Linked DNA regions of Drosophila melanogaster. The protein of the gene in region 3 purifies or fractionates together with the protein of the main gene of each other region. This does not show direct contact. Each region holds a gene or a part of one and is shown on either strand. Other genes may lie near its edges.

Region 1 (7,457 bases), on a different chromosome or scaffold from region 3:
GTTACCTTAACAAAGAGTTGGGACAACCGGATGCGGAGAGCAAATTGCGTTCGCCGAGAGACGAATCACTGCAAAAGGCATGGAAGCAGGTCGAGAAACTGCTGGAGCGGCCCAGCAAGGAATCCGATGTCGTTGGCCAATCATTCGAGGCTCTTATCCTGTTTGTTTCTTTGGCTTTGTGCACAAAGATTCCCCCATCCATCACCGTGTTGGAAGATCTGATTATCTGCCGTAAGAATGCACTGCAAAAGAGCAAGGAGCAAGTAAGTAGAGAACCTATACTTCAATGTCATCCTAAATCTAAAATAACTGGTTTGCTCTAGGTTAACGAAGAGCTCAAATGGCAGGACGTGCTTACAGATGCCCTACTCCAGTTACTTTTGCAAACAGGTCACTTCTGGCGGGAGTTTGTTCAACTGGTGGCCACCGCTTTGATTCCGCACCTTGAGCACGGTAACCTAGAACAGGTCCTCGAAGTGCTCAACATGAACAAAAATCCCCTGAGCAAAAAGAGCGATGGCGAGGAGGAGAGCGATGACGAACTCGACAAGGAAGAATCGTTGAAGGATTCAAGCGATGATTCAGAAGATGAAGATGAAGATGAAGAGGAGGACGAGGGCGAGGACGATGCAGAGTCCCATTTGGCCCAAATTCGAGAGAGCGTTCGCCAGGCTTTGGTCAACGATGGCGACGCTGATGACGATGGCGCCAGCAGCGTGGATTGGAACGATGTGGACGAGGAGCAGGGCGAACGCTTGAATGCTGCTTTGGAGCGGTCTTTTCAGATGTTCCGACCCAAGTCGCGCAAAGCCCAGGAGAAGGAGCGTCCCACCAAATCGGAACGCATTGATAGCACCAACCTGCTGCACTTCCGCATTCGTGCCTTGGATTTGTTGGAGCTCTTCATAACCAAGAAACCAACTCAATCGGTAATCCTGGACGTGCTACATTGCGTGTTCCAGGTGTACAGCCATTGCGCCGCAGACAGCAAACTACAATCCTTGCGAGAAGCCAGTTTGAAGTTGCTCAAAAAGATACTCGCTAGGAATATCGAACTCAAGGAAAATCAGAGCACCGCACCCATTCTGGAAGCCATTGAGCAGCTGATGTCGTCTGGCGAGGAGCATTCAGAAGAGGACCAAGAGAACGGCAAGCAGCCCGCCAGCCGACAGGCCAAAAGAGACATCATTATTTGGCGGGACAGGTGCTTCGCTTACCTGGTCAGCCAGGCATCAGCAGATGGCGAGCCCAAGAAAAGTGCCGTCTGGCCCCTTCTAGTCGAATTCCTGGAGCTGTGGGTAGCCAAGCGACGTAGTCGCCTCTCTCTGGCCAGTTTCGAAGCCCTCTTTCAGTCTGGCCAATGGCAGGGAGTTGCTCCGCTGGCCGTTGTCCTGGCCTCTCACTTGGACGTACAGAAAACACGCAGTTTTCGGCGGGCACAGATACTGAAGCTGCTCAGCGAGCAAGGTCGCCGGCTCGAAGTCGCTTTCAAGGACAACAACTCGTCTTCCAAGAAATTTGAGAAGCAGATAGCCAGATATGTAAATCAGCTAGAAACGAAGGCTAGCAGTTCCAAGGAACTCAATCTGCTGCTTAAGATCCTCGCCCAAGGAGGCGAGAAGTGGCAGAAACTGCGTGAACAAATTCAGCTCGTCGCCAAGGATCTTCAACCCAACAAGAAGGTGGCGAAGCAGAAGAAGCAGGCAGCCGCCAAACCTATGGTCGTGGAAGATGAAGAGTCCACATAACGTAAAAGAAGGAAACACCCCAATAAGAAACCTTACAATTAGATGTATAAATATCTTGCATAATATAGGATACTATTAATTTTTTTGTTCTTTAAAAAATTCTGACGAAAAGTACTAAATTAGTATTGAAGTCATTGAAAAAATAGCAAAAGTACACTAAACTTTATAAAAATGTATTTTTACCTTTATAGAGCAATTTGAGTGGACGTACAACTGCGCTAACGTTAAAAACCAAAATCACAGACGAGGTGGAAAGTACACGTGCTGGCGAAATGTGCTTTTAACATTCGGCACCATGGACTCGTCATTACTGCCTCGCTTTTTAGACACTTCGTTGGTGACAATCGTCAGGATATCGGCGATGTGTTCACTAAAGTAACAAAGAACAACTTATGCATTAATTCGGGGCTAGCTTGCTTTGGCAGCTTTTTACCTGGCGGAACGGCGATCGATGGCATCGCACAGGCTCCCGATAAACCAGCTACCTGTTTGGGTGTGGCGCAGAGCAGCATATCCATTTACCGTGGACATGGCCCGCAGCATGTCGATGTGCTGGTCCGGCGACACGGTGGTCACGTCTATCCTAAACTGAAAGAGGAATACGAAAATGTATAGGCTTTCCCATTCGACGACTTCATGCTTATAAATCTCCTTACGAGCTCATTTGGCTTCTTTTTATGGACAAGCTTCTCCTGGCAGGCTTGTATGATTAGCAACTTCGGTTTGTAGTACAGGGTGTCGTAGCTGCAGAGCAAGTCCTCGATATCCGTGATCTTCATGGCGATGCTGTTGGATGCGTAGACGGCCTCCTCGAAGCCGTGGCTCAGGATGAAGACCACTAGGGAATCGCGCACGAGCGATCTATCGCACGCACTGCGAATGCGCTCTATGATGCCCATGTGATCCACGTTGTCGTACGCCTCCACATTGTATCCCATCGAGGAAAACACCTCGATTAGTCGTTCTTTATCCACATCCGTGCCATCCCGTCTACGCAGTGGGTCGGGCGACAGAAATTTCTGTGGAGAAGGGCAATGTTGTACTTCTTTTTGTTACTCAATATTGCAGAGATGAAACCATATTATCCCTGCTAACATTCCGGTGAAACTTCTGCTGGTTGATAATCAAGGCGATTCCTGCGTTCTCCCGGGTCAACTTAAGAGCATCTATTTGTGTGGAACAGTACGACTGCTGGTTATCCGATTCAATCTCTTGCTTGACTGCCATCGCAGCAGTGCCAGCCGCATCTGGCTCCGGAGCGTTACTAATGATGGTGTCTTTGAGCAAATTTGCTTGCGCCTGCAGACCGTTGGACTTCAAATGGCCGACCAGCAGCTGAACATCGCTGCCTGCGGCATTTATGTCCCCTAACTTTATGCTCCTTCTGGTCAGCCAGTCCAGCAAAAAGATCTCCAGGTACGCGGGATCGTAGAAGCGAAGTGGATCTCCTGCCTGCTGGCTCTCCACCTTTTCGCGAACATCTAGGAGCAAGCGGCCACTCTGCACCAACGACAACTCCTCACACATCCTGTAGAGGCTCTTCAACAGAGGATGGACATGCAGCGTGATCCCAGCGATATGCGGCAAGTAGTGCATTCGCAGCTCCTGCCAGCAGAAACCCAGTCTCCGGAGCACCTTGCGGGCCCCAATAATGCACAGGGCCTCCACGAGATGTCTTCTCCAGGTTTCTGGCCGGGACTTGGCGAACTTTATGAGTAGATCACTTTGCGGGAAGTCTGATCGTGTCATGGCCAAAAGTTTCTGCAGAATGTAGGTGGCATCCGAGTGGTCGTCGCCATAAAGCAGAAAGCAGAGGCCCACCTAGAAGAAAACGAAGGTTCTACTGTTTAATTAACACTTTGGTCTAGCGGATGTGTAAAACATTTGAGTCATATTCGAAAAGTCCTCCCAGGGAGGTGCCATACCTTTTGGGCAAAGTTCATGTCACGTTCCACGTAGATCAGATCGTTCTGATCGATGGTGTCTAGATGAATCAACAGGTTTGATCCGGCCATGGCGATCGGGAATATACAAAAATGTTTCACTTTAGGAAATGGCCGATAAATTGCACTCGCTGACATCCGATAGCCGTGGCCTGAAGAGCTTCCACCGATCGATATCGATAAATGGATATGTTTTCTGCAATAGCGAAAGATCGGGGTGCTACCTATTAATTATACTTAAGAAACAGATGATGTAGTTTTTTGATATAGAAGTTTAACAACCGGTTCAACAATCGGTTAATATTTAAAAATGTCGCAGCCAGCGAGCCTTTAGCTTTAAAAGTAAGCTTGCGTTCACGGTTTTTGGGGAAATACCAAATATACTAGGTAAAAACATCGATTAACTAATATCATCCAACACGACGATATGTTCTTTGCGAAAAATATCGATGTACTGGTATTTTTATGTTTCCACACCTCTAGTTCGTTTAAGTCGATCTGTTGAACTGTTAACAACACAACTCCTGAATATTATGTTTTGGACGAAAAGTTTTATTAATTTAATGTTTTTGTATATTGTATTCTGTCCATGAGCGTAACAGAGACAGACAGAGAGAAAGGGACAGATACTGAGATACGGGGCCCTCAGGCAGAGAAAGAGGGCGAAAGCAAGCTACAAGCGGGTGCGAGCGAGAGCGCGCGCTTGCCTCACGCACATATATATAAATCTGTACATACATATAGTATCAGAAGAAAAAACTAAAGCCGCTATTCGATTTACGAAAACTGGCGAAAAATTCGACGATTTGTCTCGTACCTATCTATGTACCTCACAACCACTTCGTCATCAAATACGTATAAGTCAGATGTATGTCAAACATATATATACATATGCATGTATATACACATCTATGTGAGGCCACTGCTATATCCCATACATGTATGCCTCTATATATATGTATATATTTATCCACCTACTGTACCACTTCCACATTATGTAAGCAGCGACGCAAACAAAACACTAAAGCAGAAAATCCGAAAAGCAAAATGCGAAATGCAAAACAACGAACCAACAAAATCCCATCTATAAACCGAAAACCGAACAGCAATGTTATAACAAATACCGAAAAGTTGTTAATGTTCCACAAAAAAGCATAAAGCAGTCACGCTAAGAGAGTAAGATCGAACAAATGAAATGTTTGTATGGCATAAGTAGTTCCCAGATTTTTGTATGTACTTCAATGCATATGCATGTGTGCGTATGCATGTATGTATGTATGTTTCTCGGGGCCATGTCTCCCCACGCCCACGTACGTGGGTGCTAGAAAGGGACAGATGGTGCAAATTTTTTAAATTGCATACACTTGATTTTGGAACGCCAGCCAAACAAAAAGATAAATTGCGTGCTTTTCTTTTGCTGTTCGTATGTACGTACATATGCAAGTGGAAACTGCGCAGCAGGGAAGCCACACGCATGAACGCCTTCCATTTACAGAGCATTCAAACAAATCGTACCGAAAACCAAACAAAAACTTTCACCTCAAGTGTAACAATTATATTCAAATTCGCTTTGAAGTCGCTGTAAAATATATGTATGTATGTATAAACAAAGACAAAAACATTTTGCCTCGCAGTCGACACACACACGCGCACTCGCACTGCACGCCTCGGCTGTGTGTGTGTATGCCCTGCTTAGATCATGAGTGTGCGAGCGAGTCGACATGCTTGGCAATCGCGAGTCAGAACTAAACACGCGCTCTATATGCACGTGTGTGAGACGCATTGGATTTTGTTATTTTCATCAATCGCAATGATTCCGTCCATCAGCTACATCCAAATATATACACGCATCCGCGCCATATGTACAATGCTACGAGCATTTACATACACATGTACATATGCGCGTGTGGCTCATAACGGTTCACTCCGCTTACGCACAATAATAAAGGCAAACGCCTACGACTTCCCCATTGTTCCTAGGCTCAATGGAAAGCCACTCCGTTGCTTTCGACTTTCGCTTTTCGGATTCTGGAATTTGTTTCGCTGTCCAAAACTACGTATAACTGAATCTTTATGTTAAGCCAATTGTAAAAAGTGTATTTTCCTTTCTCGTTCTCTCCACACAACAAATGTGCTAGCGCAACTTTGTTGATCACTTTTATTTTATACTGGAAGCATGTCCAGGACCCATACCCTTTAATTCATCAAACTGATTTGCTTATTATTTTGTTGCTGCACTTTGGAACTAGCTAAGTGCCAGGCTAAACCTAAGCGATCCGATCCCACTTAAACCAACCAACAAAGAGCAATCCAACCATTGTCAGCGAAAAGTGCTCAAACTTTCCGAGTGCTGAGATAAGGAAGGGTGCCCAAAACATTCATCGCAGCCATGCTGCCCACGCTACAAAGTGACTCTGACTGAATGCATCAGGATCGTATGATCCGGGTGGTCTATCTTAAGTCAATAGTTTCTGTCGCTAGTACTTGGACGTGCCTTCTGAATCCGTAGTCATTTGTGATACCAGCCATTTTATATTGTATTTACCTCAAAAACATTAATGTAGCATTTATTCAAGCAACGCTTGATTTTAGTGTTAACCAATTCCTTTCATTTGTGTTCAAAATTTTGACCGCCAATGGGGTGATTCAAATAATCCCCGAATGATTTTGGAAAAAAAGAATAAGGGGCATTAAACTACATTTATTAATTCGTTTTTATTCACTTAGAAGCGTATTATGGTACATTCCACCTTTTTAGTTAATACTAGCAGTTGCTTTATTTTAAGATACCATTTTATATTGTAATTGGACGTTAAGACAAATTATAAGACGTCCTTATATATGATTAGATTGGGAATTTGACCTTAAAACATATTTATGCATCCATATATGGTATTCAAAATCCGATCCCTTATCAACAGCTTTTCCAAATACCAAACACTTAAGAGTGCAGCAACAGAAGAGGGAGGCCACTTTTTTTAAGGGCACCAATTATTCCAATCTCATCCTGTGAGAGATTAGCTGCCAAATCGATAATGTCTGTCGCTTTAGCGGATGAACCCTTAATTGACTTGGAGGAGGATTTAGAGGACGGCGAGATCGACGACGATGAGGAGGACGAGCAGCAATCTTCAAAAATCCAAGTCCAAAAGAAGACTTTCGTAGGGGACGACGATGTGCAGTTTGTGGGTGTCGAGGCTAAGAACCAAAATGACGACGAAGATGTCGTTTACGTGGGACCATCGACAGATGCCGTTTGCCTCCAAAACAGCAACAGCACCAAGTCAAAAAAGCCTCGCCCATTAGAAGGTGAAAGCTCATTCAGTTGTTTCATTGATTCTTCTTGTTTAATCTGGATGTATTCCCTAGATGACCATGCTAGCAGCATTGAGTTGGCGATTGCCAATGCCCTCAAGAAGAAGGGCATAGAGCCCCCAATGCCCCGCATGCGTTCGTCTAACCAGGATACGAGCGATCAGTCTTTGGAGGGATCCGGGGAGGGACTGGCTACCGCCAATCCCCTTCTTCAGTCAACTCGCAGCAGCAGGCGAAGGAAACGCAAGAAAGAACGTGAGCGCGAGCAGAAGAAAGACAAGGAGCAGCAGGTGAGGCCATCACATTATGTCCAAATGCAACTATTAGATACCCATTAGCTGACAAATGCAGTATACCCTTCTGCTCCAGGAGCAAGATTTATATAGTTGTAGCTAGCCTTCGATTGGCACTTATGAAATGATTTTTACCATATTTACCTTTTTAAATAGAA
Region 2 (8,221 bases), on a different chromosome or scaffold from region 3:
CCAGTCTTGCACTTCTTTTCGGTAATACCTTTTGGTAATATATGCGAATGCGATATGGGCAGATGGTGCGGTGTGGCGTGGTGTGGTGGTAATAGAATGGGCAGCATCCACACTTTAATTGGTGGCCCAGAGGTCAAATTATTTAGCGAAGCAGCGCCATTGATCGCAAATTCACATATGTACACAAACCGATACATTTATATATATGTACATGCAAACGTACATAGGCAGGCAACCACGTACCGTTAAATTTCGCTGGCGCTCTCGTTTTCTGGCATTTCTCGCATTTTCGCACCGCACACAGAAATGTAAACAAAACAATTAGAGCTGCCGCCGCAGCAACAGCAAGTGCAACTCACAATCGATCGGCAACTCTGGCGAAGGTCACCTCGCCAAATGTTGGGGCTAAAATGGCAACTCCCAGGTGTGGTGCACTAATCACCAAACATCGCTGCCCGCTGGCCAACTTGTTTTCCTTTTCTATTCGTGGAGAGACTCTGAGTGTGCAATTACAATGAAATTGACATTCACCAGGCAAATAAAACTAGTTAATGCTGCCACACGCACATACATACGTATTTGCACACACACACACACACACACACGAGAGCGCAAACTGGGAAGCTGGCTCCATTGTGCGTGAGCAGCATGTCTGCCTGTGTGTGTATGTTAGTGAGCGACTAGGGTTGCAACTTATGCTGATCGCGAGATGCGAGGCTTCCAACGGTTCGATCTGCGATGCGTGCAGGTGCCGCAGCCCTGGCACAGTGAAAACCGGCTAACAGTAACTGGCATTAGTAAAAACTACACAAAAACGCAGGGTTTACTCTCTTTAATAAAGTAGCTCAAAACATAATTTAAACTGCTTTGTGACTTAATGATGTACAAAATGTATTAGGCATATGAGTTAAGCTAAAAGGGCACTTAAAACCTTAATCACTTGTAATGAGCCTAAATGGGTTTAATGAACTTTACAAGTGATTAATCAAAATCTATAAGCAATGTTTTGACAGTAACTTCTGTGGGTCAAGCACAGACTCGCATAGCGCCAGTTCACTGTACTTCAGCTATCTACCACCATGCCAGCTACTCTTGTAAAACATCAAACGTTGAGATCGGCACGTTTTATGCAATTTCTTCGTAGACAGATAAGTGCTGCAAGTACGGGGTGCGGCATTCGCATTCGATCCCCCTCCTTTTGGGACTTGCATATGAGTAATGCAGTCAATAAAGTGCCCACCGCGTGTAACTGCGCCTCCAATTGAGTTCAATATTTAAGGGAAGCACTGGGTCAATTGCTAAACAAACGTTGTGTACGGATACATACATATATGGATATAGAAATTCTGAACACATTCGCAGTCCAGATAGCGGGAATTCGTTATTTGTTTATTTTTGCATTCTCCTCTGGCAGGCGGAAGAAAGAGAAAGAGAACGGTAAAAAGCCCGCCCTGCTTTTGTTTTTCTTTTTTTTATGCGCTGTTGAAATTGTATGTATTTGCAAAACATTGCCAACACACACCATCACGCATACATACAGGTTATCCAGAGTTTTAAATGAATAATCATTCCGAATAAAAAATAAACGCTGATTGGGCTTTTGCGGTTCGCTGGGGAATACCTTAATGGGTGGATTGGTCATTCTCTTTAGAAGGGAATGGTAAGGGGTGGGGGGACAGCCCACAGCTGTTTCCAGCGACTGACCCGAATGGAAAATGTGAGAAATGGTATCAAGCCAAGCGCGTATGCGCAGCACGCTCGACAACCGAAATTACGGTGTGTACTTGTGAGATTGAGATTTTCAGATACGTGTCGCGCTCTCTCTCCCCTCCCTCCCTCTTACAATCTAGATAAGCAACGCTCGCTGAACGTGTGTGTGCGTGCGTCGCTTTGTTTCTCACCGTACGAAAAAGTGTTTTTCGAAGAAGATTCCAAAATGGAAAGGTAGCGGACTGTAAGGGTTTTCTGGTGTAGCGGGGGGATATGGCCACTGCTTGCCACACCACACTATAAAGAGCATAAAGCGCCCACACTCCGTAAAATGCAGCAGCAACACCAGACACACACACACACACTTGAACTCTTCCTTTGAAATACTCGCAGAATATACTCACACGAGCGCGCGTTTGGTAATTTCGATTTCACACATAAAATTCCCCGTAGCTTCGGTTCGGTTCTTCTAAATTTTGTTCACTATCTTCTGCACTTCTTGGCGTTGGAGCTTGTTAGTTTTTCGCGACCAGAACTCAATGGAGCTCCCTTACGAGCAGCGCACACGACTTCACGCGGAGAGCTGAAAACGATTGCTTGGATACCAATATTTTGGTACTTTTGAGTAGAGCCGTCAAAACATCGATGCTACTATCGATAGTATCGAACCGTGCATGGCGATGATATCGAGATAGTTGTGAGCAGTGGAATCAGACTGTTGCAAGCTAATAGGCTAATCTCTCGGGGCACATCACTTGAAGACCGTTGGGATTTAAAACTTAGCAAAATAAATAAATTATTTTAAAGAATTTTTGCAATTGAAAAGACAAATTTTTTAACATTTACATATACATTTATTGGAGAATGCATATAGTTGTGTGTAAACCATACTATCAGCGGCCTATAAACATGATCAACAAAAATACATACATGTGTTAATAAGAGTACTATAACAAGAAATCCATGTGATCTGCGGTCGTGCCGGTGCATTGATACCCTTTTCAGCGCGAATTAGAGCTGCTCATCTATATAAGGTCATTTCAGCGTGCATAATGTATGGTTCAAAAGGGATGCGCTCGGACACAATGCGATAGTTAGTAACGACAACTTACAACCGTAGCTAATGTAAAAACGAATAGCTGCAGTTGGCCAAGTACTTAGTAGACGATTAGTAGACGATTATATTAGCTAATCACCGGATAATTTGAACTTCGCTGTAGTAGTTTGTGTGGGTGCAATCAATCGATTTGCTTAACTGCTAACTAGGCTGGTGAACTCTAAATGATGTCGATATGCACTTCACGAAAGGAACGTGCGCACGAATCCCTTGATGTCTGCGCGGCACATGGGACAATTGGCTACACTGGGGGCGCACTGATTGCAGGTGGCTGTCGGGTTAACAGGAAGTTAGCTACAGCTCAAGGCAATCAAGGTATAGTTCAGCGACTTACCCAAGTGGCCACAGGGCAGGAACACTACGCCAACCTCCTCGTCCAAGCATACCTTGCATAAGCGTGCATCCTTTAGCTGGCGGTTTTCCTCCTCCAGCGATAGGTTTCCGTTCGGCGTGGCCACCGACATCTTTTGTATTTCGTCTGTGATTTTCGATATATTCGCCACTGCTTCAGCTGCCTGTGGTTTGGCTGGGATGGAATCGGCCACCGGTATTGGCACAGATGCTGCCTTGCTGGTGGTGGCCTGACATGGTTCAATAAAAGGAGCACTTGGCTCCGGCGGCTCGCGCACCTCCAGTGCAGCTCCTGCGCCCGCATCGTCAAAGATGTCATGCAATAGTTCGTCCAACGTAGAGAAAGCGCAGCCGGAACTCAAGAGCTTGCGCTGGATGGCATTGCGCACAACTCCTCCATCGATACCCAAGGCTAGGGCCTCCTTGGCCGGAGCTTCATCCATCAGTACGTCTGCTTGGAGCGTTGGAGCCGGAGCAGTTGCTGGCTGGGAACTGGCGTTGGCAGCTGTTGTCGCGAGCACTTCGCTTACATAGGCTGGACCCTTGGCCAGCAAAACGAACTGACACTTTGGCGACCACTTGGCGTGTTCGAACCACGGCTCGTCCTCCTTCTGCCAGGAGCGCAATCCAATGTTGCAGTGGAAACAGCGCACCTGGTCGCCTATTTTCTGATAATATAGGCCAGCCTGCGCCAAAGCCGAAGCGGGCTGAATATTGGAAATGGGCCAATCGGTGAAGGTTCTCAATCTGGCGTCCACGCAGGCGTACTTGGGACGCAGTGGCAGAGTGGTGGGCTGGATGCCCAGCTCATCCAGGTTCTTCCCGGTGGCAAACTCTATAAGGGGGCCCATTTGCACACGAGGACATTGGGGAAAAAAGCGCTTGTGCTCTTCAAAGGCATTGTCGTTCTTCTCCCACTTGGCAATCACTCCGTTGCACCAAACACACTTCACGTGATCCAGACGGTTCAGGTAGTAGAAACCTGCCTTTGCCAGAGCCTGCGGCGTGATGTTGGGATTCTACAAAGGAAGACGTTTTGGGCTAAAGTTAAACTATCTTATTCAGTCATTAAAAATATTTGAAATTATACAGTATACAATAACTTCATTTGAAGTTCATAATGATTTTTGTATATCTTAATTAAAGCTTAATTTCGTAGGATTATCAATCAACATTCAGCTGAATTGAGGCAGCTAACAAGACATTTCTTGTTTGTATACAAAAATATCATTGATACTTTCGACCGGGATTTTCCTGGCCTCATTTACGCTACTTTTTAACTACGCAATCATACTTACATATGCACTTATAGTGAGCTTGAAACTGAAACTATAGTGATTACAATGACCCGCTATGGTGAATCACCAGAAGCGAGCGACACCAGCTCAGGGTACTCACCGGCCAGTCCTTGAAAGTTACCAAGCGATTGGCCTCCAACAAGAGATCGGGACAAGAGCAGGACTCCGGGCTGTCCACTACGCTGTTTCCCTCGTTGTCGCTCTCCTGGCTCCTGGGAACATTGCCGCAGTGATTGGGAGCCAGAACCATGGAGCAGATGGGCGAGGAGCGGCGATGGCGCTCCGCCACTTGATCGCCGTATTCCCAGCGGTCGATGCGCACGTGGCAGAAATGGCACTCGGCCTCCAGCCAGTTTCCCGTGGCAAAGAAACCATTGGCGACCAGATCCTCCGCGGAAACTGGGGCATTCAGGGGCCATTCCCCAAATGTCGCCAGGCGAACGCTCTCCAGCTCCATGCCCAGCTCCGTCATCGTGGCGCTTCTAAATTGGATCCGAATGGATCCACCAATGATGTAATGCCACCAAGGGAATCACCAGCGAGCGCAGACGAAAATGAAAATAAGGTAAGGTAAAAATATAAACTTATTGTAGCGATGTAAAAATAAGCATCGATGTTTTTCGATACATCGTCAATGTTTCATCGATGAAATACCAACTTAATGGGCACTGCTTACAAAAACAAGGTCAAGCAGTTTACCTTGCTATTCGGTATATCCAAACCTAAGAAGTTTCCAGGTATTTCACGAGTGCCATATAACAGCCAACTATTTCAACAGCTGTCCAACCAACGATATAATGAACCAAAATCTCTTGTTTGTATTTTGTACGTTATTTATTTATATCGAGTTCTTCAATCAGTAACATTATACCACTTCCACAGTGCTCTGCGCCGCGCAGGGCCAGGCGGAACTCTCCGGATTACTAAGTGCCCTCCAGTATTTCGGGCTCTTCTCAAATTTGACGGTGTATTCCCTGGGAGTTTCGCGGGGCCAGTGCCATTATAGCTTCGAAACCTTGCTGAAGGAGCGACACACATGTGCCCCGGATGACGAGCACATCATGCACCTAAACCAGCTGCCTCCGGTTCGAAAGCCACCTATTATGATGAAGTGCCTGCAGCGGGATATCGAGAATGAGACAGCATCCGAGCCGGAACTGCTGATAATGCGCAGTGCCAAGGATATAGTGAATCTGCTTAAGCCCATGGGCAATGCCACCAAGCGCCACGAGCCGGGCAACTGTGTACTTGTCCATTTCTGCACCGCATCCAGCTTGGAGTGCGCTCGTGTGGCTTCGATGGTCAACGTGCTGCCCCATTACTTTCCCACGCTACCCATCGCCTATGTGGATGCCTATGAGTTTGGTCGTTTCAATGCAGAATTCGGCATCGTTTCGCTGCCCACACTGATGCTATTCCACCAGGGCAGGCCGCTAATCAAATTCGAGCCCGGGTGGAAGGACACAAAGAGCAGCTTTGCCAGTTTCATAATGAGTCACACCAATATGAAGACTGTGAATCCGCAGGCCATTGATCCGATCATCCTCACTCGCGCAGAGATGGAGCCGCTGTCTAATAAACCCATTGTGCAGACGGATTACTATTTGGGCCTGGCTTGGGCCTTTATTCTCGTCTGCCTTGCCAACTTCCTGCGTAAGACGGCGCTCTGGAAGCAGCTGGTAGAGATGGTGCAGCGCATTTGGCGGGAATCCGAGGAGACGCAAATGGAGATGGTGGACTAGTTAGTTAATACGTTTAATTCTCTATAAGTCGCATAAGTAGAACACTGGATTTACTATTATAATGTAATTACCATTTAATTAAATTCACGTTAACATTTACTTAGGCCTTACGAATTACATGTATTTGGGGAATTGGTAATTGTTGTTTTCTATCGTTCGGAGCCTTCAAATCAATTGTGTTCATTTGCACGCTAACTGGCATCCATAATTTAAAGCTTAGTGGCTAACAAAATCTAAAAACTTGAGAATTAATCAAATAATTCAAACTTATAATTACGATTTCATATATATTCCATTACTTTCATTGAATTTTTCGATTAGGTCTGAGAGTGTGTGTTGTAATGATTTCGGCGTTGAATAGTCACATTTGTTTTAAGTAAATTTAAGCAAGTTGTTCTGTATCCTGCGTGCACATCAATAGCATCTTGAAGTTGTACATTTTTTAGTGTTGCATTCTGGTCGACTCACGCAGGATAAGACAGAACTGGTAAAGAATTGTGTTTGTTAAAAAATATTTGAATTGGTTTTCCTGCTATGGAACAGAACCCAACGCTTTGCTTCCTAGTGTTTTTGAGTGTGCGATGCGGAAGATGTTGGCATACAGATGATCACGTTTCTACTACTTCTTCTTGCCGCGCTTGACCGCCTTGTAGGAGCTGGCCGCTTCGTCCTCCGTGTGAAAATGTTTTACGGCACGTTGTTGGCGCCTCGGATTGGCGGCATAGGGATGTGGATGTATGCTGCTGGCGGAGCAGAAACAAATGTTCATTAATTAACAGAAACGATTAATTAGAATAAGGCACAATACAAAACAAAAGGTATACATAATAATCATTCGTACACAGGCCAATTCGAACGCAAGTGAAAATTTATTAACAGGAAGAGAAGGTCAAAGGGAGCATTAATGGATGATGTGGGCAAGCGAGTGATGGATTCGTAGGATTCGCGCATTATGTCGTTCAGTGGTGGCGCAGCAACAGCAGCAGCAACATAGTTCAAATTTTGATTATCGTCGATGGCCAATTGGGCGTCGCGTAGTGTGGTGGTATATCGTCGAGTGTGGCTCTCGCAGATTGCGGTCTACATGCTATACGGATAGGCAGGCGATGCTCTTTCGGGCGGGTCAAAATGCGAGTATGCAGACAGAGAGTTAGATGTGTATGGGAAGGTGCGGCCTTACACGTAGCTTGCGGCCATAGTCTTGAGCTGCCGGCACGGCACGTAGATGTGGTGTTGCTGCTGTTCGAAGTTCGAAGTACTTGTGGCGATGAAGCGGAGCTGAGCTGAGCGGATCGTAGCGTTGGTGGCGCCTTCGGTTAGTAGAGTGCATGTAGTTACGTCGAAGACAGCCGAATGTCGAGTGTTTCTCGTTGTTGACTTTATTACTTATGATATTTATCTGGATTAGCATAGGTTTCATTTTATGTATTTGGTACTGTATCCGCTCTACTTGCGGTGGTACCGCGAATTATAAATACGCCAATCTCTGCATGATTTGGAAAGTACAAAATGTTGATGGAGAAGAGAAGAGAGAGCGATATGTCGTTAATACACTTGGGTAAATGGTATATTAGAAGATCAAGATCGTTGCTACCCATGAAGTCGAGTTCGAAAAGAATAAGCAGTATTGGTTTCAATAAATCATTAACGTTGTTGTTACAAAAGCGTTGTCAACCATTTGTCGGACCACAAAACCCCGGCATCAAACTTCGGCTGTCCGAAGACGTTTTTCGGTTAGGACTATACAAGCAGATAGAAATGAGGTTCGAAGCTGACATAGTCTATGTAACTAGGTTAATCCCGTATTGCCGGCTCCTGCCGATCCCAACTGAACAAACCTTGGAGAAGTGGACACCGTAGCCAGCGGCGAGGATGGGGGTGTCCTTAGTGGGCGGCGCGGCGTGGCCAGGCTATGCCCATGCCCATTTCGCAGGTACGAACGACGAGAGCTCACGTAGTTATTGTTGTTTCCGTTGCTTGTATCGTAGGTTGTTGGCGAGGAT
Region 3 (6,379 bases):
GTGAACAGCAGAAAGATGCACCTAAACCAGATTTCAATCTGCGTGAAGTCCGGACTGTAAGTCTTGAACTGAAGTGGAAAGTTAGTGACCATCACTACAATGGGAATGCCATGCCACTCACGTAAAATGTTATGCTGCGTATATTATACTTCTGATGGAATGACTCCAAGCCGTAAAAGCGCACAGTGATAATATAGTGGGCATAGTCGAGGAATCCCAGATGCATCACCGTGAACTCCTCGCAGTCGTTCCGTACGCAGACCAAGTGCCGCGTCCGGTTGTGAGCCACTCCGGATCCGAGGACACTTTGGGGCTTGTGCTGCTCGTTTATGCCATCGATTGAGACGCTCACTTGGAAACTCTTGTCGTACCGCTCGTCTGAATGATTGTCATACATATATGTAAATGTAAGAAAAGTAAAATAGTCGCAATCACAAGACCCACCATCATTGTTGTCCGTCACCAGCTTGGCTATCAGCCACATTTGCTGCGAATATGTGGTGGTCAGCGGCGACTTCATGGCGAAGGGTCCCTTCCCCAGGACCGTTGGGCTATGCGCCAGCGAGGTGTTCGCCAGAATCTGCTGGGCGGTCAGCGATGATGTGCTGGTTATGGGCGGTCCCGTCAGCCCGATGACTATGCCCAGACCGAAGCAGGTGAAGAATCCCAGGAAGACCATGACAAACTCGCGCTTGTGCATCGAGTAGAGTCGCATATGGACGGATCGCTCGCAGCGATCGTGATGATAGGCGGGCGAGATGTACCTGCTGAAGTCGCTGAACAAATCGCTGAACTGTGAGAGGGAAGATTTGAGGCGCAGCAGGAGGCCGCCGGACGGCAGCTGGTAGGCGTAGCCCAGGCCAGAGGCATCCGCATCCGAGTGGGGCTTGGCCATGGCCGCTGGCAGGAATTACGGGTGTCTAGCTGATGCTCGGTGTCCACCTAGCCGTCGCCTTTTACTGCATCTCCTCTACGCCGTAGAACTCTTTTTTTTTCGCGTTTTTTTTACAGATTATTGACAAGTCTTCCACAATCCGTCCGACGTTTGTGCGACTTTCGTGGAAAATATCGATTTTGGCCAGCACTACTCGCATATGTTTTGACTTGCCAGTGGGGGTGGCTGGGCCATTGGGTGGTGGGCCGACCATCCGTCGAGTTGTTTGCCATTTCACATGCACTGCGCATGCGTACTCTTATCACAACTGAAGGTAAATAAAAGCCAATCTCGCAAAGGGGGGAGGGAATATCAAGCAACCGGATGGATAAATAACTTAGGAATTGGGCTTGATACACATGAATTAAATGAGCTCAATTGGAACATAATGGGTAAGCAATATAATCAATCAATTTACACATCAGTTTGGCTTACATCTATCTATGTTATTTTGTGCGGACCATTAGTCCCAGTATTTTATCTGGCCATCCCAGCCAGCGGTGACCACTTTGCTGGCCTCATGCGGATGCCAGAGGGCACTGATGCAGACGCCGTCGTGCGCCTGCCACTTCTTGTACATCTTCGTCGTCTTCCAGTCCCAAATATAACATTTGCCATCGCCATCGCCCGACACCAGATAGCTCATGTCCGGCGAAAAGTCCAGCTGGCAGGCGTAGCCAGAGACCATGTGACCGGTGAAGGTCTTTTTGCGGTTCATCTTGAAGCGATTGAGGGCGGAGAAGATGACGATCTTGTTGTCTAACGACTGGCAGGCCATCCATTTGCCATTGGGCGCCAATGTGACCGCCGGCATGGAATGCATAGTGGGGTCGGCAATGTACTTCATGTCCACAGGAATGTCCCACTCCCATATGCGCATCGATTTGTCGTCCGAGGTGGTCACAAACCGTCGGTTGTCGTCCACAAAGGTGATGGTGCTCACAGATCCCAAGTGCCGGTCGTATTCCTGTACAATATCACCGCTGCGAGTGTCCCACTGCGAATTGATAGGAAAACAATTGTAACATGAGCATCTACTTTTGTAAATTTTACTTACACAAATGATCTTCTTGTCGGAGGTGCCGGCAACGAACAAATGTTGCTTGCTATTATCCGGATGGAATTTCACACAGAAAGGCATTTTACGCGTTGTGAATCGGGACACTACATCGCCCGTTTCGGCATCCCACAACTTTATGTAGCGATCATACGAGGCAGACAGGAAGTTGGTACCCCTGTTGTTCCACGCAATATCCTTGATGGCCTGCCGGTGACCGGAGAAGGTGCGTATGCAGCGTCGCTCGCCGTAAACCTCCCACAGTTTGACGCGACAGTCCATCGATCCGGAGAGCAGAAGATGAGCGGTCTTGGGGAACCAGCGGATGGAGGAGATGCCCTTGTTGTGGCCCGACCAGGTGTGTATGTGCGCCTTGGGCAGAAAGCATTTGGTCGGTGGTGCATTCGATCGTAGATTCACGCCCAGATCATGAGGAGCATGCAAATAAGAGCGGCCCTGATAGTCGTACGCATCCTTGACTGTGGAGCAAAAAAGGAAAAGATTATTAACGATATATATTCGGTGGCTATTGGATTAAACTCACTGTGCAGCGTCGACTTCTCCTCGAGCGGCTTATCCTCGGGAATGCGTCCGCGCTTATGTCGCTTAGACAGCAGCTCGTCCAGTTCGGCGCGCTCCTGTTCATTTGGCTTTGCCACCGACACCTCGTTTTCGAACTTGCCCCAGGGACCCAGAAAGCCCTCAATGTCCTCGGGATTATCATTTTTCTCCTGCTTGCGCAGTTTCTTTGCCTTGGGCGGCTCAAATACCGTCTTGCCATTGTCATCGTACGCAGACTGCAGGTCACCCACAAAAGACTGGCCGTCCGCCTGATCGTCTACGCTGGGGTCCAATGCGTAGCCGTAGGTGTGAAAGGTGCGTCGCTGGTTCTCAAATTCGAAGGCATTGATGTGGGCCTTCTCTACGTAGCCGGCTAGGGTGTTCCGCGGAGCGCGCTGCTGCATGGTGAGGTCCGGATGCTCCGGACCTTTTACCGGAGCATACATCTCCTCATAGCGCGGATTGTAGGTTACCTCCTTGAGCGTGGGATCCAGAGTTCGGGGCACGGCCGATGCTCCAAGGGGAACCACCGTTGGCGCCGCACAAACAGCAATGGACTTGGATAGCGAGTGTGTCTTGTCCACGGGCAGCAGGTGATCCGGAATGGGAGCGGAGGGCTCTGAATTCGTGGTGGCTGTGGCGGCGTCCGCATGGTCCGATTCTTCATCCGAGGAACTGGCGTATGACTGAAGGCCCAACATTTAGAGGCTGCGGACGAACTCTGTGTACTTGTTAACGAAATGCTGAAGGTAAATCAAGACCAGAGTGTAGAGGAGGAATACGAAAACGTTAATGGATATTTCCATTCGTCTACACGTTTGCGTTTATCATTAGTTGCTTCAGTAAAAGTAACAAAAACATAAATATATATCTATCAAAACTAGGGATGGTGCGTGCCATCTGTTATCGATGTTATCGAATGGCTATGTAACGGTCTCACTAATAGATCCCAAACATGCAAGGTGGTGCAAGTTTAAAGCTTATTTTAAATTTTTTAAGTTGTATGGAAATAGTATTTGATATTTTTTTGCTCATTTTGCTCAAACACCTATTCAGTGCTGATCGATAACAGGTAAGGAAATGTTTGGCCATACGGTCATACTACATCAGGGAGTGAAGTTGCGTTGATACATTTTGGGAACTTAAGACCGCTGAAAATACCGTCTCTGTAAATTAGTCACAATGACTGCAGGCAGGCACTGGAGCTACGACAGCCTCAAACAAATCGCCATTGATGGATGCACCGAGAACGTGGAGCAGTTGAAACTAATTTTTGTCGAAGAGATTGGTTCGCGACGCAGATCGGATTGCATACGAACCATCGAGGATTTAATTGACTGCCTGGAACGAGCGGACGAACTATCGGAGTACAATGTGGAGCCACTGCGCCGGATATCAGGCAATATGCCACAGCTCATCGAGGCTCTGAGCGCCTACACAAAGCCGGAAAACATTCTTGGACATCCGGTTAATCTGTACCAGGAACTCCGATTGGCCGAGGAACTTCGTCAGCAGCTCCGTATTGCTCCAGCTTCCCAGAATGCTCAGCCATCAGTTTCGGAATTAGCTGCCGCTGTGCCTCCAACAGCAATCCAAAACTATGCCACCCCAGCTGCTTTTACGGATCACAAACGAACGATGGTCTTTAAGAAAATATCCGAGGAACTGGGTCGCTATTGGCGACGACTGGGCCGATCGGCGGGCATTGGCGAGGGCCAAATGGACACAATCGAGGAGCGCTACCCGCACGACTTGAAGTCCCAGATTCTGCGACTGCTGCAGCTCATCGAAGAGGATGATTGCCACGATCCCAAGCACTTTCTGCTTCGTCTGTGTCGCGCCCTGGGCGATTGTGGTCGCAATGATCTGCGCAAGAGGGTGGAGCAGATAATGTCGCACTAGAACGCATTCACTTATATGCACTTTATATGCATTTTGTTACGATACTAGTAATTAATGTGCTGGAGAGCGACAAAGATGTGCCTTTATTGTAATTATTCACATGTTATTCCAAGGTTGGACAGAGCATAAAAATCGCACACTAAATTAATATGTGTCAACGCGGAATTGTACGATCTTATAAGAAAATGTGATTGACGTATTCCATTCAAAATGGGAATTCACATTTCCTTATCATAAGATAGTCTACAAAAAATATTGTTAACTCGTAATACACAAGTCACATAGTTGAAGATAGCAATGTACAATGGATATAAAATACGTTTTGCAAACGCTTTTGCTTCTCTTATCCTCAAAAGACGGTTGAAAATTTGTTTACAAATAGGGTCACACCTTTTGCATTGAACTATCGAATTGGCAATTATCGATAGGCACAGCTGGCTGAATATCGTTTGCTTCGGGGTGAATGGTTAGCAACACGTGCGCGCAATATTTTATTTGAGAATTCTGTTTTTAACCATTAAACTCTATTAAAAAGCATACATAGTTAGCAATATGTCTATTCGGGAGAAGCTGCTGATGAAGAAGATCGTTAAGCGGGAGAAGATGAAGAAGGAGCTCTCGCAGAAGAAGGGAAACAAGAACGCCCAAAAGCAGGAGCCACCCAAACAAAATGGCAATAAACCCAGTAAAAAACCGGAGAAACTCAGTAAAAAGCATGTGGCCAAGGATGAGGGTACGATTAAAAACGTGTGTGCCTAATAAATATATGTAAGATTCACTTTTCGACCCGCAGATGACGACTTAGAGGAGGATTTCCAGGAGGCGCCGCTGCCCAAGAAGAAGCAACAAAAACAGCCTCCAAAAAAGCAACAAATTCAGGTGGCCAACTCGGATTCGGAATCAGATGACGATGAGCAGGAGGATGAGGCAGATGAGGATAGCGATTTGGACGAAGTAGCCGAAGTTGATGAGGAGGATGTTGACAGCGGGAGTGAAGATGATGACCAGCAGGAAGGTAAGTAAAAGTGTCGATATTTAGGGAATTCGTTCTAACTACCAATAATAATGATGATTTTTAAAGGCGAATTTGAGCAGCTCTGGTGCAGCGAGTTAATGTTGCCCAGGGCAGGCATGAAATCCATTTAAAAACCAACTGAATTATATAAAATACTAAAAAACTGTATCCCTGTGAAAACCAAAATTAACCAAGAGTACCTGTTTCAGATGAAGATGAAGAAGAACCTGTGCCAGCCAAGAAAACGAAGTTGCTTCCCAACAAGTCCAAGGCACAGAATGGCAAACCAGCTAAAGACGACGAGCCCTTTACCGTGGAATCCTCACTGGCTGCACTGGATTACCGAGATTCGGATGATCGCAGCTTTGCCTCTTTAAAGGGCGCCGTGTCCGAGGCCACATTGCGAGCCATTAAGGAGATGGGTTTTACCGAGATGACTGAAATTCAGTCGAAATCGCTGACACCCCTACTAAAGGGACGGGATCTGGTGGGTGCTGCCCAGACGGGTTCCGGCAAAACCCTGGCCTTCCTGATACCCGCCGTCGAGCTGATAAACAAGCTGAGGTTTATGCCACGCAATGGTACCGGCGTGATCATCATCTCACCTACCCGAGAGTTGTCCATGCAAACTTTCGGTGTGCTCAAAGAGCTGATGGCACACCACCATCACACTTATGGCTTGGTAATGGGCGGCTCCAATCGGCAGGTGGAGAGCGAGAAGTTGGGCAAGGGCATCAACATTCTGGTGGCCACACCGGGTCGTCTGCTGGATCATTTACAAAACTCGCCCGACTTTCTGTACAAGAACCTTCAGTGCCTGATTATCGATGAAGTGGATCGAATTCTGGAGATCGGTTTTGAGGAGGAGCTTAAGCAAATAATAAATCTGCTGCCAAGTGAGTTACGGGTA
Region 4 (10,860 bases), on a different chromosome or scaffold from region 3:
TAACCAAAACTAACTTAAATGTAAAACGGAATCGAGAAGTGGAATAAGAAAGCGACTTTTAACAGACATTTGTCCAAGGCACAAAACTAAAGCATTGAAGCGAAAAAAGATTAAATGAAAACCTAGTATGTATAAATGAAAATTGAAATTGATAATTGATTGATAACGATAATAAATGAAAAGTTAGTGGAGAGCGGAGCAGGCGATGAAGAAGAACGTTAAACGAGAACTCACAATTAGCGAGACGAAAAAAAAATTCATTAGCGTTGTTTTAATTTATTAGTAAGTCGAGAACGACAAGCGACCCAAAACTCGATGATGAATATATCTCCATGTGTATGTATGTATGATTAAAGGACGGAGTACGAGGGAGGGGAGTCGAGTTATAGAGGTTGAGGAGAGGAAGGTAGAACGGAAATACCTATGCATAACATAGTTATAAGACGGGAACTCGCAATATGATGGTAACTCAACTTCAAAACCGATACAGACTTCTTCAGCTGACTTCCATAATCATAATCATTGTTAACACTTAACTATAGAGGATAACGCTTTAAACGAACAAACACACACTTACATACACGAACCTTGGTTGCGGTTGAGTTAGTAATAACCTATAGGTTCTGTTCCAGTTCCAGTTCCACATCACGATCCTGACCCAACCTGCCCCGCCCCTTTCTGACCCTTCCCTTTCCTTCCCTGCCCCTCCACTCAGACTCGTCGTCACACACTCTGTGTAAATGCAATCAGTTAGATTTATAAGATGAATAACAAGTCAACACGAATGTAAGACATCCCCAGAAGGCATTAATTAAGCTACGAAACAATTTGCAAATAATACTCATAGAGCGCGAGTCGAGGCAGAAGATGCAACATCATGCGTTACATTGTTTTAATATGCGAATTACGATAAATTGATCAATTAACATATACATACAACAAAGAACAAACAAATTACAAACTGTTTTTATTAATTTTGTTAAACGATAATGAAATCATTAAAATAACTCTAACAAAGGAAAACCAAGCTAAGCGGATAACAAACGACAGATAAAATTAATAACATATATAAATCGATTTATAAATACACACACTCACATAAAAACCAAAACACATTGAGCAGAGAAGCAACCAAACAAAACCCAAAAACATAAATTCAATTAAAAGTAACGAAACGAAACAAAACAAAACAAGACAAAAAAAAAAAAACAAAGTTTAAAGAACAAGCTCAAGTCGCAAGGAGCAGTAAGGCTAAAAAAAAAACATATTTGTTCACAGTGTAAATTGTAACACACAGAGAGCGAAATTAACGCAGGTTGCGATAAAGTGAGGAATGTGAGCGAGGAGCTATTATTAAAACATTAAACGATTTAAACAATAAAAAAACGAAAATAAATAAAACAAAAAAAATACAAAAAATTTAAACCGATTCGAACTGTCTTGTAGATTAACCGGAACTGGTCGATAAACATTTCCACTCAATATGTACGCGAACAACTGTATGTAAATACATATACGGGGATTCACACATCAACTGCAATGTTTATTAAACATGAACGAACTAAAGGTTGTCTACATTCAACAATAAATTATTGAGCCAAACATTGAACAGTTTATTGCCGCTCAACTGGAGCTAGCTTATTTCCGATATGGATACAGTGCGTTTCATAACCATGACCGCCAAGTGCCACGTGTCGCGAAGGTCGAAGTTCGAGCGTTCGATGCCCGACATTGAGGAACATATGTATATTGCGTTTTATCCACATTCGTTGTCGCTTGACAAAAGTTGGACATAATATATGGTTGTCGATCGACTCTATATGGTTTTGAAACGCACTGTCCGGAGATACATATAATACTATATAGACTCTAGATACATTGAAAGAGACGATGTGATGATGGATGACGTATTGATAGTCTTTGCTTTATAACAAGTGAGTGTGCTTAGGTGCACATCAGGCATATGGGCACGCATTCACAGCAATCAGTAACAATCGGTAACAGCTAGGCTAGAGCTAATCACATGAGGCAACCAGCCGATGGCGGTACCGAGAACAAACAGTTTACTTATTGCTAGCAATCGTCTAAAACGGCTTGAGCAGTTTACAAAATGATAAAGCACTGCTCGCACAATGCAGCCATATGTACGTATGCGTTATATATGCTCATTACTCATTCTCAGATGGGGTCTGAGTTGCGAGAACGGCGCGCGAGATAATTAAATTAAGTAAGTCACTTATCGAACGCGTGACTAACAGTTAATTGAGCACTTCGATTAGCAGTGTCGCGTATTTAACCTCACTCAACGCAATTGCCAATTTGTCTGTTTATCAAGTCCAGAGTCATATACATAGAGCATATAGCAATATCGTGTCGTATTTGGTAGTCTGTGTGCTTTTGTGATACATTTGTGCGGATATGTGGTATTGTCTTTATTCGTTGTTGTCTTATATAAGTTAACAAGTGCGTCTAAGTATATTAAGTTAGTTGACTTGATAAGGATTAGGCTAAAGATTATCACTAGGCATGGAGGGTGACGACATTGGTGACTGGGCGGCCACAACTAGACTGGGCACACGACAAGGAATCAAAGAATCGAGAAATCGAATGAATGGCTATCCTAACACTATGATCTCAGCCCGGCGTCTGCAGCTTGCTGCTGGATCGCGAGAATAGGGCCTTCTTCAGGATGTTCGGCTGCCACTTGATGAAGCTCTTCTTGCTCTCCGACGTGGTGGAGATGTTGGAGCTGCTGGCACTGAGTGTCCTCTCGCGTTCCGTGACATTTATGGTGCTGACGGAGTGGGCATGACGCAGAGTCTTGCCGCTGGCCCCATCGCTCCGCGCCGTCTTTCCAAAGCTGTGCGTGATTCTGCGCAGGAAGCGATCCTTTTTCTTCGGCTTGTGCTCCGGCAGGGGTGAGCCGGTGTCACCGGAAACCGAAACGATTGTGGTCTCCGCCTCCGGCACTTTGCAGCTGTTGTAGTTTGGCATATCAGTGACATCCTTGTCGTTGATCTGAATCCGAATGCTGGGAGTGGTCACCCGGGGAGCCGATTCCTCCACCGGCGAGGGACTGCATAAAGAAATTTTAGAGAATGCCAAATTTATGATATGAGTGATAAAATTCCAACATGTTTTACAATTAACAGCAAAACTAATTTCGCTTCAATATAATCTTACGCCCAGATATATAATACATTTATTTCCTGTTTATAAATTTGTTTCAAATTTGATTACTCATATGCAGTGTATTACTTCCTGGGCACTTTAAAAGTCGTATGAGTTCATCTTTCTGAAACAAACGTATCTTCTTTGAATTTAGCAAAACTAAATAAAAATACCTGCTAGGCTGTTCTAAGGTTGATCGCTCGTACGCCATGTGATATTTGCTTATATATTTTGTTTACAAGCAGTTGGTATACATTTGCACATTTTATGTGAATGTTGTGAAACGATTTCGCAGCCCCTACAACCAGCAGTAGCAATAATTGAACAGTAAAATCAAAAACTTAAGCTAATAAAATGTATTCTAAAACAGCTTCTTAAATTGGGATGACTAGACTACTTCATGTATTCGTATTCAGTTTGCAAACCTCATTTATCTGTTGGCTAGCAATCTACATTATCTTGAGATTTTATACCCCTAAAAATGTATCAAGTATTTTTGGAACACATACATATACATATATCGCAGGAAGTAGCAACACTTACGTCTGCACCTGGCGCGTGGAGTAGATCGAAAAGGCATCCAGATCGTGTAGGGAACGAGCCAACTTGTCCCAGAAGTTGAACAACTTGGAGTCCCCGGCGTACTTGATGTGCGTGTAAATGCCCAGGGTCTGGGGTATGTGCATGTCCGTTTTGTACAGAATCGGTATGATCTTGCGAGTGTGATTCTCTGGGGAAAGTCAGATCGTTGAACTTGTAATGCGACTCTGGCTCTGCGATACAAATGCGTATCAGCTACTCACCAATCTGGATCTTTTGGGTGAAGTTCACGAGGTACGTGTTCTCCGGACTCCGAAGAAACTCCTCTGTGAGCACGACGATCAGGTGATTGCAGCGGGTGGCCATGAAATGGGATAGCTGGACATGCTCGAACGGAACGCCCATTAGCATGTCGCGGTGGCGCAGGAATAGCTGCAATAGAACGATCCCATGGTTATTTAATACAACACACAGCAACCGAGCGCATCCCACTCACCCTGAGATTGTATCGCTCAGACTCTAGATTATTCATGATCTCGGTGGCATGATCGATGTCTGCCTCCGCGTACAGAACACATGCGTTGTATCTGGGCAGCGGTTGGCCCATCTGTACACATCTCTGGTCCTCGTCGCTGAGGATCTGCACACTTTGGCCCACTGTGATGTTGTTGCTGCTGCTGTAGTTGTTGTTGGTCTCGAAGCAGTCGCTGGGGGGCGGCGGACACGCCTCCACGAGAGCAGTCTGTCGCTGCTCCTGTTTCATGATGAAGCGCTGGGTGTCCTTGGCTTTTGAGGAGAGCAAAATTAAAACAGTTTTACTAAAGGGATTATGATTGCTAAAAACTACAAGGCCGCACAAAAAGTTTTCTTAACACATCATTCGTAAAGTAAACAACACAATTTATACATGTTAATGTCAAAATCAAATTACTTAAATTATGTTTATTAAATAATAAATATAACCCTTTGTTGATATATAATGAGCTTAAAGGAATGGCATAGTGAAGTTTATCTGAGTTTCTGCACACAGTCGCTAATATATGAAGCTTTCATAACAAATTGGTAGTATTTATGATTTGTAACTCAATATTATGTATGAATAGATAAGTGTATGCATATATCCATTCAGATGTCTGCCATTGTCTCCCCATCTTTTTATTCCAAATATATTGTCAGCAGAAAAGATCATTCTAGTAAGAGGTAGTGAATTCTAGATTCAAGCAGTTATCATCAACGACACATTTATAAAAAATTTACTTTTTTAGTTATTTTTAGTTTTATTGGAATATTTCTAAAACACCCAATGAAAGATCATTAGAAAAGGAATTCAAACATTTCCTTTGAAAAATTCCTAATACGATTTTAATTATGTGTGCTTTTTTATACCTTAAGCATTCAACTTCCGAGTGCGTTCATTTGTTTTTAAATCGAACCATTTTGGTCACAACGAATATATCTATACAACATCTGCTCCTAAACAAAATTGACTGTTCGAGGTTTTTTATTAATGACAACAGTTTTTGCTGGGTGAATCCCCATTGTGCAAATAAATAAGAAAATTTCGTTCTTAACTGATTGGCATTTTCTATAGTTTAAGTTCTGTTGTTTGCGGCTTTTAGAAATTATTGTTTTGAATTTTTTCTTTATGGCTGTGTGTTTTTCAATTTGTCGGGATGTGGTAATAAAAATCTTGTAAGTCGAAGCGTTTTATTTGACAATAAATAGAAATAAACACAAATTAATCATGGGAAAGTGGGTGACTTTTATTTCTGTCATTACGTATCTACTCATCATAACTCAATAGTTTTATGTATCCGACGATAAGCTTTGTTTGACTTAGATAAATGTGCGATAGATAAGTTAAATATGTACGCTTTCTGCATATACTCCCTATATTATATAGATTACCACGTCCATTTTTATAAACTCGAAACGGCTTTTCCGGTCATAAAACCAAAAATGGATCAGCCAAAAATAATTGATAAGTGTGGCTCGCCATTAAAGTAAAATTTAATGGTTCATTTTCCGATTTCCAACATTTGTGTACATATCATTTGATAAGTACATTATTTAAAATTCCTCTTCAACTTCGCAAACTCGAGAACAGTCAAACATACATAGTTAGTCTAGACGTTTAACTAAATTTTCACTGTCACGATGGCATTTTGAAGTAAAAGTCGAATCGTCAGACCATCATTTAAAAGCTAATCTAAAACAAATGATACTCAAAACTCAAGTGACATAGTTTAGTTATAGATAGATAGCGACTACCATAAGTAAAAAATAGTTAATGCCTACCCAGATTCTCCTGGATATCGTCGCAGACGTCCCACCGATCGATAATGCCCAGGAAGTGTTCCAGATGGCCCACCTTGGCGGTCTGGGGACTCCGCTGGCTCCAGCTGATCAGCACCAGATCCATGGGATTGTTGGCGTTCTCGTCGACGAATCCCTTCTGCTTGGCCAGCTCCGAGATGCCGCGCCAGTCCCGCTGGTAGCCCTCCTCGGATCGCAGCACCTTCTTGCGGTTCAGCATGCGGGACAGCTGGGTGCGGGTCTCGATGCCCAGTGCGGATAATGGGGTCTCGTTGAAGTGCCCCAAGCCCGTTCCCGTGCCCGATCCCGACCCGGAGTCCATAACTCCCTCGGCCACCACCATGCCAGCGGTGCGATAACGCCGATAACTGACGTCAGTGGCGCCGTAAATGTGATGGTGATGGGGCGGATTGGGATGGCGGTGGGTATGGTGATGGAAGTGGGAGTGGGGCTGGTAGTGGGAATGGGCCACCGAGTGCTGCTGATGGCATACAAATCGAGGGCGCATTCGCACTTGGCGCTGGCTTTATTGGAATAATTGGTGTTTGTTTGCTGGCGTATTTGTTTTAGTGTGGATGCGATGTGATGCGATATATATTTATCAACTGACGTTTATCAGTCGAGAGGGCGGCGAGCAATAAAACGATGAAGCGCGTGAGTTGTGCTGCTCTGTAGATTTTTTCGAGTTTTCCGATCGCGCGTGCTTGTTTTTTTTTTGTTTTTTGCGGGCGGATGAAGCTGAAACTGGTTAGAAGGGGGTGGTGCTTTACTGCTAAACTTCTATACTTCAGTGCGGTGCGAAATGGACCGAGTGACCTCCAGCACCTTGCCGCGTCACAGTCGCGTTGTTGTTGCTGTCTCGGATTCTGTTTTTATTTATCTGTCTGCTCCGCTGCGAGAGGAGATGGAGATCTTCGCCTTCGTTTTCGTCGCGTTTTTTATTCGTCTGGCGTATGATTTTTTGAATATTGTTTAAATATACACAACACACACACTCACAATCAGTGGCGCACGCACACAGTGTCGCCCTAAGCACAGAAATAAATTCGTTTCGCTTTTTTCGAGTGCGTCCGCTCCGGTTTGTTGTTTTGTTTCGACTGGTTCTGTCCGCCGTTTGTGCTTTTGTTTCTGCCTCGTTGTCCGCTCCTCCTCCGCCTCCTCCCCAACGGACTACTCTTCGCGCTCACTCTCCCGCGCTCTTTCTCCACCGCCTTTCACTCGCTTGTTTATTTTGGTTTCGTTCCGATGCAGGGCGAAAGCGCGGGGGCCACAGGCGGAACTATCAGCTCAGCTGCTTTTTCTAGTCGGCTGACAACACTCTGTTTGCACTGGCTAATTGCTAATTAATTTATCTGCGCTGCGTTCCCACTTTTCAGATCAGATCGCGATTCCGATAAGCTCGTGGCGATCGATGGGCAAAAGCTTGGCGAGTCACAGCTTTTCGGGTGGCCAGTCATCGGCGAGGTTTGGTACTTTATCGGGGCCAGTTATCGGTTGCGGTATTTTTGGTGCGCGGGCCACACTTTAATAGGTTCCAAAAGCATTCACCAGATGGCGCTCTAAGAGTGGTTGACTTAATTTCCGGTTGGTTAAATATAATTTAGGAACGTTGGTTCTTGCCGTAGGATTCCTAATTATTCATAAGCATAATTGATAATGATTTCTTGCTAGTGCAAAAGCAAGAAGAGTAGTAAAGTGAGTAAAAACGCACTCTCCTATTCGACCGGCTGATGTAGGCAATCTAACTCCTTTCAGTTATGCAGAGAATGGTACCTTTAATGGTGCCTCAAAAAGGAATATTTTACATTTCGACCTGTCCAAGACATACTTACTCATTTTACCGAGAAATATTGCTTCCCCGAAATCAACTGATTTGAGACGATAATGTGGGGAAATGAACATGCCAACCAAGGACCACACTCTCGTAAATAATAGTCAGAGAGCACTTGTAAATTCAGTTTATTTTCATTTGATTTTGTTTGTTCTTTGTGTGGTTGATGCCTGCACCTCAACGCTTTTCATTTTCAGTTACAAATACTGAGATATACTTACTACACAGGTGACACAAATTGATTTATCGCTTTTATGGCTTTGTTTGACTTTTTCTTTCGATTCAACATTTCTTGCTTTGCTTGATGAATAAAACGCTGAAGGCGTTCAAATGTATTTTAAATATATTTGTTTTGCTTTTTCATGGTTTATTTTTGTAGTTTTCGTTTTTCGGTCGGCGTTGCGTTTTGCATTGCCAGCAACAATTAACAGTAAAAGTTGATGCCTTGCACACAAGTTGAAGTTGAAGTTACCTGCTTTTGTTTGAATTCCGTTGTTAATTTATTTAATGTTGATTTACTCGGATAAGCCCCATCATTAGTTATTAATGTACCTACTTGGTATTTACTCATTTGGTTTGTTTGTGGCTCTATTTACAATACATCTGCCTGTGTGTGGTGTGGTTTGTGTGTCTTTCTTTGTATTTCGTTCATTTTTCACTTGTAAATAATTGCTCAAACTGGATTGGGCACCAAAAGTCTCTCGTTCAAAGGCTAAAAAGTTTGATTTTTTTCTCGAGAAATAATTTCGTTATTCATTAATTTATGCTTGCTGCGTGTTTGTGTTTAACCTGTGTCATTATTCAATATTCATTGGTATTTCGCCCTAGAACGTTTCGAGTATTTCAATTACATCAATTTACTTGCTTCGATTGTAGTTGTTTGTATAATAATTCAGCTTACATTTTTACACTTAGCTAGCCATAAATATAGACATTAGTTGTGTTCTTTTAATTAGGTCTCCCCTACCTCCTTCATTCAGTTAATCTCCTTTTTACTTTCGTTAGTTTAAGCATGCAGTTAAATCAATTTTGCAAACCTAGTGGATATGCTCTGCCCCATGTGTTAAATGCAATTACTAAGTATATTGTTGTTTGATTGTATATACTAAATATCCTTTGTGACTGCCTGGCGACAAATTTGATTATTTTAGCCTCTGTTTTAGCCTGTGTGTATTTGTGGTCAAATTCGAATGGCTTTCTGGGCCAAAATGCGTATCTTACAAATCTGAATGAGGTGTGTGATTCTTTGTCCCAGATGTACTTGCATTGCATTTAACAACGACCCGCTCTAAGTAGATTAAATGTTTAAGTTTACAATTTATTGAGCTAATTTAAAGCTTTCCATTTGTTTTCGCCCTGCCCGCCATTGAAATTCCGCTTCCCTGCTCGCCAAATGGCTTAAAAACAAATAAATTCGTATACAGAGAAAACTAATTGTAAGGAAAAGCTGAAACTGTCCAACTATAAAATCACGTAATTTACCTGAAACATGTGCTCTTAAATCAGATATTTATTGCAAATAATTTAGCCAGTTTTTAGTTAAGAGTTAACCGTATCAGTTTTGAATGGAAAAACAAAAATTTGTTTGTTTTTAAGATATTTCCTAAAATCATGCACTTTGTTATTTTTCTCTTTGTTTTCATGTGATGTTTATGCATGTAAATTTGTTTTGTGGCTACAAAGTATCTTTGAATCTCACATTAATTTAACGCCAGAGACCAAAAACCTATTAAATTACCTTTGTGCAATCGGGCTGGCGAGTATTGGGAAACATTTAGGTTGATAAATACATATCCGGCTAATTGGTAACTGGGCTAAAAGATGGGCGGTCAGGGAAGTTCGTTCTCAACTTTGCTTTCAAGCCTGCAACGCTCTGTTGGCTGAAACCGATAGAAGTTTGCTTCAAGCTAAATTTGTCGTTTGACTTGCAACTGAGTTAGCACAGGTTTATAAACTTATTCATTTGGTGAAGGCTGGGCAATCAATTCTTCCTCGTCGGATGCTCGACCACAAATAATTGTAACATTGAACACCTAAAAAAACATTTAACATTTAGCTTAGATTCACTTAGTTTAATCCGTTTAAAAATTAATTCGACAACAAGCTCGTTTTGCACTTAAGTAACAGTTTCACATCGATCCGCTAAATATCTAACTTCTCCGCGCATTTGTTATTTAATTGTTTATTAAGTTACGCTACGCCACATTTATTGCAGGTTCTCATTAGGATTTTGTAGGCTTTTTTCATTGGCACAAGTTGACTTCGAAGTTCGAGTAATTCTATTGAATGTTTCCTTGCTCCTTTACAATTATTGTTAACCTATGAATTGTAGTTTTACTCAAAATCTATCGTGGAATACTTGATACTTATGCTTGCGCTTTTCTTCCAACTCCGCTTCAACATCTTCAACGTCTAAGAGATACAAAAACTTTCGGTTGTTTATTGCTATTAACATTTACTTAGGAGTACTTTTTCAGTTAACAACTTAGTTTCAGACGTAACTATTGACCAACTTTTCTCCTCTTTTTCTTCGACAGCTGCCTGTCGACGCCATTCAGGAGGGTATTTGTCGGGTGGGAAAACCAAAGGAAAAGCTTGGCTGAAGAAAAATTGAAACCATTTCGCTAATCAACTGAACAATCGAAACCTTTTAATTGCTCCTTCCGTTTGGCGTCGTCCTGCAGCCCCAAGTAGATCATATCCTTGACGCAATAATTACAGGACAATCAGGCTGGTTCTGGTAAACAACTTCAATTTCAATAGGGGAATTCATACTTATTAAGCTACACCAAATTAATTCTAAACTGAGTAATTAAATTTAAATTATAAATTATAATGCGATACTTCTTTTGTTTAAATCCAATTGCAAGTGTGCCTGGGTTAGGCAGTGAAACGCAGTACAAGCTACTTTTGTACATTGGGTTCTTGGAATAAAAACGACTATTGCCTATTGATAGACACATTTGCAATTGATTTTAAATCTGTTGGGTTGTTTGAATTTG

Evidence for each region.
Region 1: the proteins of Fadd (region 3) and Dredd purify together in Drosophila melanogaster (affinity purification with western blotting; 5 studies listed by BioGRID, with this or other methods). This does not show direct contact.
Region 2: the proteins of Fadd (region 3) and Diap2 purify together in Drosophila melanogaster (affinity purification with western blotting; 3 studies listed by BioGRID). This does not show direct contact.
Region 4: the proteins of Fadd (region 3) and Myd88 purify together in Drosophila melanogaster (affinity purification with western blotting, with the first as the bait; one study listed by BioGRID). This does not show direct contact.

What each region holds. Positions count from the first base shown.
Region 1 is NC_004354.4:631,721-639,177, forward strand, and holds Dredd (death related ced-3/Nedd2-like caspase), read right to left. Parts: upstream 3,826-7,457; 5' UTR 3,764-3,825; coding exon 3,674-3,763; intron 3,589-3,673; exon of another isoform or gene 3,570-3,588; coding exon 2,826-3,569; coding exon of another isoform or gene 2,805-2,825; exon of another isoform or gene 2,768-2,804; coding exon 2,405-2,767; intron 2,337-2,404; coding exon 2,182-2,336; intron 2,119-2,181; coding exon 1,986-2,118; 3' UTR 1,902-1,985; downstream 1-1,901. Other genes in the region: Mybbp1A (MYB binding protein 1a), read left to right, coding at 1-263, 324-1,748; su(sable) (suppressor of sable), read left to right, coding at 6,727-7,000, 7,061-7,296. UniProt on the Drosophila melanogaster protein: Effector of the programmed cell death (PCD) activators rpr, grim and hid. May play an apoptotic role in the germline as well as soma. Fadd interacts with Dredd to promote cleavage of Dredd and is necessary and sufficient for enhancing Dredd-induced apoptosis.
Region 2 is NT_033778.4:15,929,623-15,937,843, forward strand, and holds Diap2 (Death-associated inhibitor of apoptosis 2), read right to left. Parts: upstream 5,204-8,221; 5' UTR 5,176-5,203; intron 5,096-5,175; exon of another isoform or gene 4,959-5,095; 5' UTR 4,949-4,958; coding exon 4,577-4,948; intron 4,198-4,576; coding exon 3,162-4,197; intron 3,099-3,161; coding exon 3,010-3,098; 3' UTR 2,548-3,009; downstream 1-2,547. Other genes in the region: bug (bunker gear), read left to right, coding at 5,274-5,301, 5,359-6,218; Mlf (Myelodysplasia/myeloid leukemia factor), read right to left, coding at 6,838-6,958, 8,057-8,221.
Region 3 is NT_033777.3:22,030,829-22,037,207, forward strand, and holds Fadd (Fas-associated death domain), read left to right. Parts: upstream 1-3,626; 5' UTR 3,627-3,734; coding exon 3,735-4,454; 3' UTR 4,455-4,789; downstream 4,790-6,379. Other genes in the region: CG13409 (uncharacterized protein), read right to left, coding at 1-68, 122-378, 445-895; CG6015 (uncharacterized protein), read right to left, coding at 1,398-1,931, 1,992-2,470, 2,536-3,253; CG45099 (uncharacterized protein), read right to left, coding at 3,254-3,358; pit (pitchoune), read left to right, coding at 5,007-5,187, 5,248-5,469, 5,679-6,365.
Region 4 is NT_033778.4:9,301,260-9,312,119, forward strand, and holds Myd88 (Myd88), read right to left. Parts: upstream 7,464-10,860; 5' UTR 6,536-7,463; coding exon 6,010-6,535; intron 4,498-6,009; coding exon 4,208-4,497; intron 4,144-4,207; coding exon 3,975-4,143; intron 3,902-3,974; coding exon 3,715-3,901; intron 3,077-3,714; coding exon 2,635-3,076; 3' UTR 1,564-2,634; downstream 1-1,563.